2 linked regions of the Rattus norvegicus genome follow. The protein of the gene in region 2 interacts with the protein of the main gene of each other region in a pairwise test. Links are inferred from orthologs where the notes say so. Each region holds a gene or a part of one and is shown on either strand. Other genes may lie near its edges.

Evidence for each region. The genes of interacting proteins can lie anywhere in the genome.
Region 1: the proteins of Ccdc158 (region 2) and Gpsm1 interact in a two-hybrid assay, tested with the Homo sapiens proteins (2 studies listed by BioGRID and IntAct). The link is inferred for Rattus norvegicus from reciprocal best matches to the Homo sapiens genes CCDC158 and GPSM1.

The regions. Positions count from the first base shown.
Region 1 is NC_086021.1:29,537,454-29,541,795, reverse strand, and holds the start of Gpsm1 (G-protein-signaling modulator 1), read right to left. Parts: upstream 2,844-4,342; 5' UTR 2,726-2,843; coding exon 2,658-2,725; intron 1-2,657. UniProt on the Homo sapiens protein: Guanine nucleotide dissociation inhibitor (GDI) which functions as a receptor-independent activator of heterotrimeric G-protein signaling.
Region 2 is NC_086032.1:15,722,886-15,726,480, reverse strand, and holds part of Ccdc158 (coiled-coil domain-containing protein 158), read right to left. Parts: intron 3,263-3,595; exon of another isoform or gene 2,781-3,262; coding exon 2,591-2,780; intron 605-2,590; coding exon 452-604; intron 1-451.

The DNA.
Region 1 (4,342 bases), on a different chromosome or scaffold from region 2:
CTGATCTCACTGTGTGTTCCCTTACGACTCTTGGTGTCCTCTGGGACCCACACGAGCTGGCTCCTTAGCACTCCATGTCTAGCACCCTGAATCTCTGCCTGCCTCCTTCTCTGCAGAGCAGTCACCTGGCACTGGCCTCTGGCCAAAGGCTTGAGAGACCCTTGCTCACAGCTGTTCCAGCCCCCTACTGTCCAGCATCTCATAGGAAGAAGTTATACCGACATTCCCTCAGCAGGCAGGGGAAGGGGGACACACACAGAAAGAGTGGGGGAGGGGTAGAGGGAGGGTAGGCAGTAGAAGCTGCTGGAAAGGAGAGGATAACAGCTTCAGAGCCTAAATAAGGTCAAGTTTGCAGGGATACCTGGGGAACTGGTCCTGTCTGGGACAGTGCTGAGGAGAGGACACAGAAAGAGATAGTTAGGTAGGGGACCAGCATTGTTTGGTCATGTGGCTGCAGAGGCCTTGCCATGCCTGGGCACCAGTAGCCCCGACCTGAGGTGCACCTTTTGTAAGGCCACTCCAGATGGGTTTCCTGCTAACCCTCCCTTCCCAGCTTCACTCAGGACTTAGCCTCTTCCTCGTGGGGCTGGGAGGGCCAGAAGAGGACATTGTAAGGACTTCCCAGCTACTTGTCCCCAAGCCCCTGTTCTGGCCCCGGTGCCAGTGGACCGGGGATTCCCCATAGAGACCCTCTCCACTCTACCCCATCCCTCCCAGTGTTCCTGCCTTCCTGAGCCAGCCCCTCTCTGCACTCTATGAGGAGCTGGTAGTTCAGGGACAAATCTGTGGCTCTTCTCAGCTTCCCAGACCCATTTGATACATATCAAACCCTCTCAGTCAGACGCCAGGAGGAATGGGAATGCTCGCGGACGATGGGTGACGCAGAGAACGGCTCCCGCCAAGACATCCCGTGTCAGCCCAGAAACACCACAGGCATTCTTAGATCAAATGGATGCAGTTCCGCTTGGCCCCCCACACACCTAGGCCGCCACAATTCTCCCATGGCAGCAGGCAAGCTTCCATGCACACACAGGTTCACAAGGGGACAGCACATGCTTGGATTTCTTCTTCAGTCCCAGTGGCCACAGGTTGCTGGGCTTGACGGTGCAGACTTTTCATCTCTGAACCCTAATACCTGCGTCAAAATGCTTCAGGTACTTCACATCTGCCAAGCCTAACGAAGCCAGGGAACTGGCTGTCCGGGACCTGGCTGGGACCCAATAGGTGGAGGCCAAATAGCTCATGGGCCTCCTGGAAGGCCCTGTGGGAAGCCTCTTGGCTGCTCAACTTAAATCTGGTCCTAGCTCAACCCTCTGAGCTCAGCTTGGGTTTCAGCTTGGAGGGATGCCAGGCTGAGCACAGGGCCTCAACCAGCATCCTGAATACAGTTCCTAACCAGTGAGGGCTACACAGGGGCCAGCACTCTGCCTAGTGAGTCACCTCAAGGGGGAACTTGGAGCAACTGACAGAGCTTGGAGACCGGTGTTCTGAATGTCCACCTCTCTCTCTCTCTCTCTCTCTCTCTCTCTCTCTCTCTCTCTCTCTCTCTCTCACACACACACACACACACACACACACACACACACCACACACGCTGCAATCTGCCTAGTAGACACCTCCTTCTCACAAGTGACTGGTCCTGAGGTAAATTCGACCCCACACAGCCTTTGTTCTCAGGGGACTCCAGGAAGAAGCTGCTAGCAAACCTCTGACCCCGGCACCAGAACTGGGAGACAGTGTGAGGCCAGGCGTGATCTTCAACATCACACAATGGGAACACTGTCTCTGCGCTACAGTAGAGTAGAACAGGAGGGCAAGGGCTCTGTTCATCAGGCACCAAGCCCTCATTTTGCTCTTTGGGGGGTACTAGGCAGTGCTTGGCTAGCCGATGAACCACCTCACCTGGGGTAGATTGGGGAAGGTTAGAAGAGGTGGGAGTCAGAAGCGCTGGGCCTTCCTTTGGGGCTGATGACAACTACCCAGCACTCAGGCCCTTCCAGCTCAGCCTGAGGCCAGAGTGAACTGACAGCACTGGTCCACTTCTGCGACCAGCATCACACTGGGGAACACCCTCATCAGGCAGGAGTCACCAGGGAGGCATGGAGCCAGGGACAGGGCTATCCCGTCATTCCCAGTGGGCGTGGGCACACAACGCAGACCGCTGGATCACCTGTGAACCTGCCTGGAAGGCAGATGCCTTTGTAGGGAGGCACACACCCACCTGCCTGGCTCAGGCCCAGCTCCTTCTAGCCTAGGGCTGGGGATAGCTAGTGAAGGCAGGGCCCCATCATGACAGCTTGGGTCATGGCCATGCTACACCAGCACCGGATCGTAGCAGTATCGGGCTAGAGAAGAGAACTCCAAATAACGAAGACTGACATCCATGCTACTCAGAGTCCCGCAGAGCCGAGTGGTGGAGTGCCCGCCCCGTAAGCCCTTCTGGCACCCGGACACGGTTGCAGGCAGAACCCAGCCCCAGCCCCTCTGCCGCGGGGCCGATCTTAGGGCCCCGCGCCCCCACCGCTCCCTACGCAGATCCAGGGAGGCGCGTCCCCGGCCACGTTGCGCGTCGCCGCTGCAGCCTTTGTTCTGGGCCGGCAGCCTCCCGCCCGCGTCCGCCGTTTAGGTCCCCGTCCCCATCCCGGTCCTCGAACTACCTGGAGTAGAGGCGCCTGGCGGCTGGGCCCGGGAGCTCCTCGGCCGCGGGCGGGGCCGGGCTCGCCATGAGTCGGGGACGCGCCGAGCAGGAGCACCGCCCCGCGCTGCGGCCGTCCGACTGCCGATCTGCCCGCCTGTCCGCGCGTCCGTCCGCCTGTCCGCGCGTCCGCGCGAGACGCCGAGGAAGTGATGTGCTGGGGTGCCGCCGCCCCTCCCGCCAGAGCTGTGATGTCACCGCCGCCAGGCGGAGGGAGGTTGGGGAGGGGCAAGCGCCCACCGGCCACCACTGCGGCGGTCCCGCCTACAGCGGGGTGGGCGGGGCTCTGCCTTTGAGGTCCAGTGCAAGGAGAGCCCTGCTCTAGTCTGGACAATACTGTGCTTCCTTTTATTTGGGGGAAGACCTGCTAAGCCCCTGGAGTTTAGTGCCGAGGTGCTGTCCTCCTTTTCTTACACACACATACACACACACACACACACACACACACACGACTTTGCTGTCACACACACATCCTGTTCCTTTCCTGTCACCTCTTGTAGGGTACAGGCCATGCAGATGCACCCGGGGCTAAAGAGAATCCAGGTCTTCCTGGATGGAGTAAGTGTGGGAGGATGCTGTCCGGCCCTGGGCAAGTCTCTACCTTGCTAGGGCTTTCACCACCAGTCTTCATGTTGTCACTACCTGTGAAATGCAAGCGTTTGGAAAATATACTGGAAGAACACCAGGGGCCCCTGTGGGAGACTGGCGGTGCTCATTCACCTGTCTGCCCTCCTCTGAGTGCTCCCAGGATCCTGAGGATCTGAACCCCGGAGCGATTTTTCTTCACCCATACTTGAGTAGCCTAGGAGACTTCGCCCCAGCCAACTCCCAGCACCCACAGGGCACCATCTGGACAGCCAGCCCAACTGGGACTCACCTAGGTCCCTCCTGTCCTCTCCAGCCCTGTCCAAATGTTCTTGAGGAAGTAGCTGTTACCTTCAGTGGGACAGGGACGAGTCAGGGTGCAGAGATTGGCAATGCCCTTGGCAGTTTTCCTGCACCCTGGCCCCTGGCCTAAAGATGGACACCATGCCAAGGTCACCCCAGACAGACCCTGCAGACGCAGCCCACAGTACAGTGGCTTCAGGCAAAGAGAATGGCAACAAAAACAAACACAAGATAAAACTGGGCTTCAGCCGGAGCTGGTTTGTTTTCCTAGGAAAGAGCAGGGGCGAGCAATGAGAACCATCTGTGCCTGGGGCGAGGCCCAGGCTTGCTGCTGTCCCCACACCTCCCCCGAAGACCACAGGAGCCAGGTCTTGCTCTGGCTTGGCTAAGGCAGAGTGTGTGTTGTGGCTGGCCAGGCACCACCCAGTCTCACACACAGACACACACAGACAGACACACACACACAGAGACATACAGAGGCGCGCGCGCGCACACACACGGCCTGGTCTCTAGCAGACCCTGGCTCTGGAATGCAGGCACTTCCTGGTTGCCCTCAAAGGACACTACATGCAAGCAGAGGCTGCTGCGACCCATTTGGTGTCAGACTGAGCTTAGATTCCCAGTTCCTGACTTTAGGAGGCCCTTAGAGACATACTGCAGCAATGTAAGCCCCTGTTGGCCCTGGGCTTTGCCAAGGACCAAACCAATGAATGAATCCCATATGTGGTATTTGTTGCAGTGTTCTGTAGTTAAGGGATG
Region 2 (3,595 bases):
TGTCAACTGCTGAGAGATAAAGACACCTTGTCTAGAGGTCCTATTACCAAATCTCATCTCACTTTTATCACAGAAAAGTCAAGAGTTGCCAATCAGCCATTTAGTTACAGGTTATATAGACACTGTACCTGTAAAAAATATGAGGGTTAATGAAAATAATCAGTGGCTTGTATTTCTATCTTGAAAAGTAAGGGGAAACAGTGGGATTTGTTAGAAATTACTAAGATAGCCATAGAAAGAAAAAGTGATGTCTTCAGATGAGGTAAGGGCTCAAGCCCTTCTCAATCTCCCTTAAACCATAGAAACGCTCATTCGTGCCACCCAGCACGCACGCTTGGGCATGTATTTCTCAGGTCACCTGCACTGTGAGGAGGTTCTAGGCAGTACATTCAGGACTGTGAAACCATCTAGGCCATGGGTTTAAAAACCAAGGGACTGAAGCAGGGCGTACCGTGGCCATCGGATCCTTCCATGGTCTTGAGCGTGTTCCTTGTTTGCTCCAGTTCTGACTGCGCCGACTTGAGCTGCATCTTCAGCCTGTTTGTAGTGCTCTCCATCTCTTCACTTTTGTTTCGGAAGTTCCTCTTTAGGACTTCATAGTCCTCTGTATAACACAGCGACAATGTCTGTACTTAGTGATGGTGGCACCTTAGAGGCTGAGACAACCTCACTCACTACCGACATGAGCTGTACACACAGCGCCGGGATCTGCTGTACTCACTTTTCACCCGCCTCCCTCTCGCCCACCTTATTCTAGGGCTTCTCTCTCCCAGTCTTCGTAATTAGCTCACAACTGTCCATCTTCTTGGGGTTTTTTTTTTTCAGTCTTTTATTTATTGATTGACTGACTGATTTTGAGACAGGGTCTCACTAATGATGTAGCCCTGGCTGGACTTGGAGTTTCTTTGTAGTTCCAGCCTAGGCTGGCTTGAAAACCACAGAGAAGCACATGCCTCGCCTCCTAAGTGTTAGGATTAAGGCCATAATTGACCATGCCTGGATTTATGTCTTTTTATCTTATGCCTTCTTCTTGGATGACCCCCATCTTCACGACTACTGTAAATAACTAAAAGGTTTCACATGTCTTTTCAAAATCTGTTTTTTTAAATTGACTTCCAAGTCAATTTGCCATCCTAATGTACTATATATTGAAACCAAGACCTTGGCTATGCAGGCAAGTATTTTACTACCAAGTTATACCTCTATCTATCTATCTATCTATCTATCTATCTATCTATCTACCTATCTATCTATCTATCTATCTACCTCAGTAACTATGGAAACACCTGGGACACAGTCAACATTCCAGCATTAATGAAGGGAGAGCCTCCCAAGAGCCCACTCATAGCTGAGGAACCGTCTGGTAGTTGATGGCCACTGGGGAAGACTTCCTTTTCTGTTTGGCTCTGCAGGGCTGTTGCAGGCTGCGCATGCGTACTTACACAACACTGAGTGGAATCAGTGGCTATAGAAGTAATAGTGAGAGGACAGACGCCAAGTCGGGAGGGAGGTGGAAGAGGGCACCAGGCAGAGTAGAACAGAAGTGGTGAGGATGGGGTGCCCCAGTGCAGTGCGTGTGTGAGTGGAGGGTTCAGAGGTTTATGTACTGTCCCTCATCTGCTGTACGTGCTATTTACATAAGAATAGGATAGAGATATTTGAGGGGAAGCCAAAGTCTCACGCAGTCAGGCTGGTCTCAAGCTCAATTCACAGCCAAAGACTCCTGGCTGTCCTTGTCATGCATCACCCTTGGCTACGATAGAGTTACAGACACAGGTCCAGCTGCACATGTCCTCGCGCTGCCTCGTGTCTTACCCTTTGCTCTCAAGCCGCCTCTTCTCTAGAAGGTCCCTTTTTAGTTATTGCTGTTATTGTTTCCTAATCCCAAGCTTAAAAAACCCAGCACATATGTGCCAGTCACTAATTCTACTGCTGCAACCTTCCCAATTATTCTTTGTGTGTGTGTGTGTGTGTGTGTGTGTGTGTGTGTGTGTTGGGGGTAAGTGTGTGTGGTTTGTGGTTGTGGTTGTTGTTGTTGTTTTGAGAAAGGGCCTCACTATATAACTCTGGCCCTTCTGGAACTCACTGTGTAGGAAAGGCTGGTCTTGAACTCAGAGGCCCACTGCCTCTGCCTCTCCATTGCTGGGTTTAGAGGTGTGCACTACCACACTGCCCAAAGGAGTCTCAAGACTTTGCTCTTCTCCCATTCTTGCTGCCACTGCCTCTGTTCAAGTCCTCGTCACATGGATTTCTCCTCTCAGTGGTTTTGCATAATTCTATTTATATGTGTCAGTTTATTAAACCTTTAGAAGGCTGCAAGGTTCCCATTTCCCTAACCGTAAAGCTGTAAAGACGACTCCTCAGGAGACCTCTACTCTTTGGAACTGAGGACTGAACACAGGTAATGGTTAGCAGGCATCAAGATGCAAGCCCCTCAGACAACTGTGAGAAGTGCAGTGCAGATCACATGACTGGAGCAGTGTGGCATCTGTATTTGTGGTGTGAGACCAGATACTCTTCTTTTGTAAGTGTGTGGGCAGCCATGTGGGACCTCACAGTATTTAGGACAGAGTGAACTGAGGTGCCATACCTGAGAGGTTGTTCAGTTCAGTCCTACTAGTCTTCACCTCATTTAACAACTGATCTCTCTCCTGTCTGATGTCCTTCACTGCTCGGAGACGCTCGGAGCCTGCATTCACCAGCTTCACCTTCTCCAGTTCCAGGTCACTCACTCTGGCTTCAAGCTCCCGGATCTTCGCATCTTTTTTATCTTTTAAGATCTGGGTTGACAAATCCAGAGTCCAGTGAAAGGAGTAAAAGAACATGTACACGTATAACACAAACCAGTCTCGCTGACACTATCTGCCTTTAATGTCAGTACTCCTAAGGACGCTAGTATCATTTCCTTGTGATAGAATGCCCATGAGAAGCAACTTAGGGTATATGTGTGGGTGATACTTTGGCTCCAGTTTCTGAGGATGCACCATGACAGGAAATCATGGGAGCTCAGACATCTCAGTCCAGTGGCAGGGGTACGGGGTGCTGTATGGCTTCCTGACATCTTGTCAGAGCAGAGAGCAGAGAACTCAGGCCAGAACCCAAAGCAAATATTGCCTTCAAGACCTGCCTCCAGTCATCAATTTCTGCTGATTAGGTCATAGACCTAAAGGTTCTACAACCATCTAACATATCACTGTCACCTGGAACACGCTCTCAAGCCACGAGCCTGGGAGGACATCCCAAAGTCAAGCCATAATAGCTGGTAAAGGGAAGAGACTAGCAATAGAATTGGAGGGAAGTGAGGGAGGGGATGGAGGTGGGGGAGGGGATGGAGGTGAGGGAGGGGATGGAGGTGAGGGAGGGGATGGAGGTGAGGGAGGGGATGGAGGTGGGGGAGGGGATGGAGGTGAGGGAGGGGATGGAGGTGGGGGAGGGGATGGAGGTGAGGGAGGAAGATGAAGCTGAGGTGAAGGGCTGCCTGTTCCTGTTCATCCATCGAGATGGCTGACAAGGCTGGCCTTTGGCTGGCATTTAGGAATTCATGAACCCTTTTGACACTTAGCTGCTAAGAGTGGCCCACTGTGTAAACTGTTTC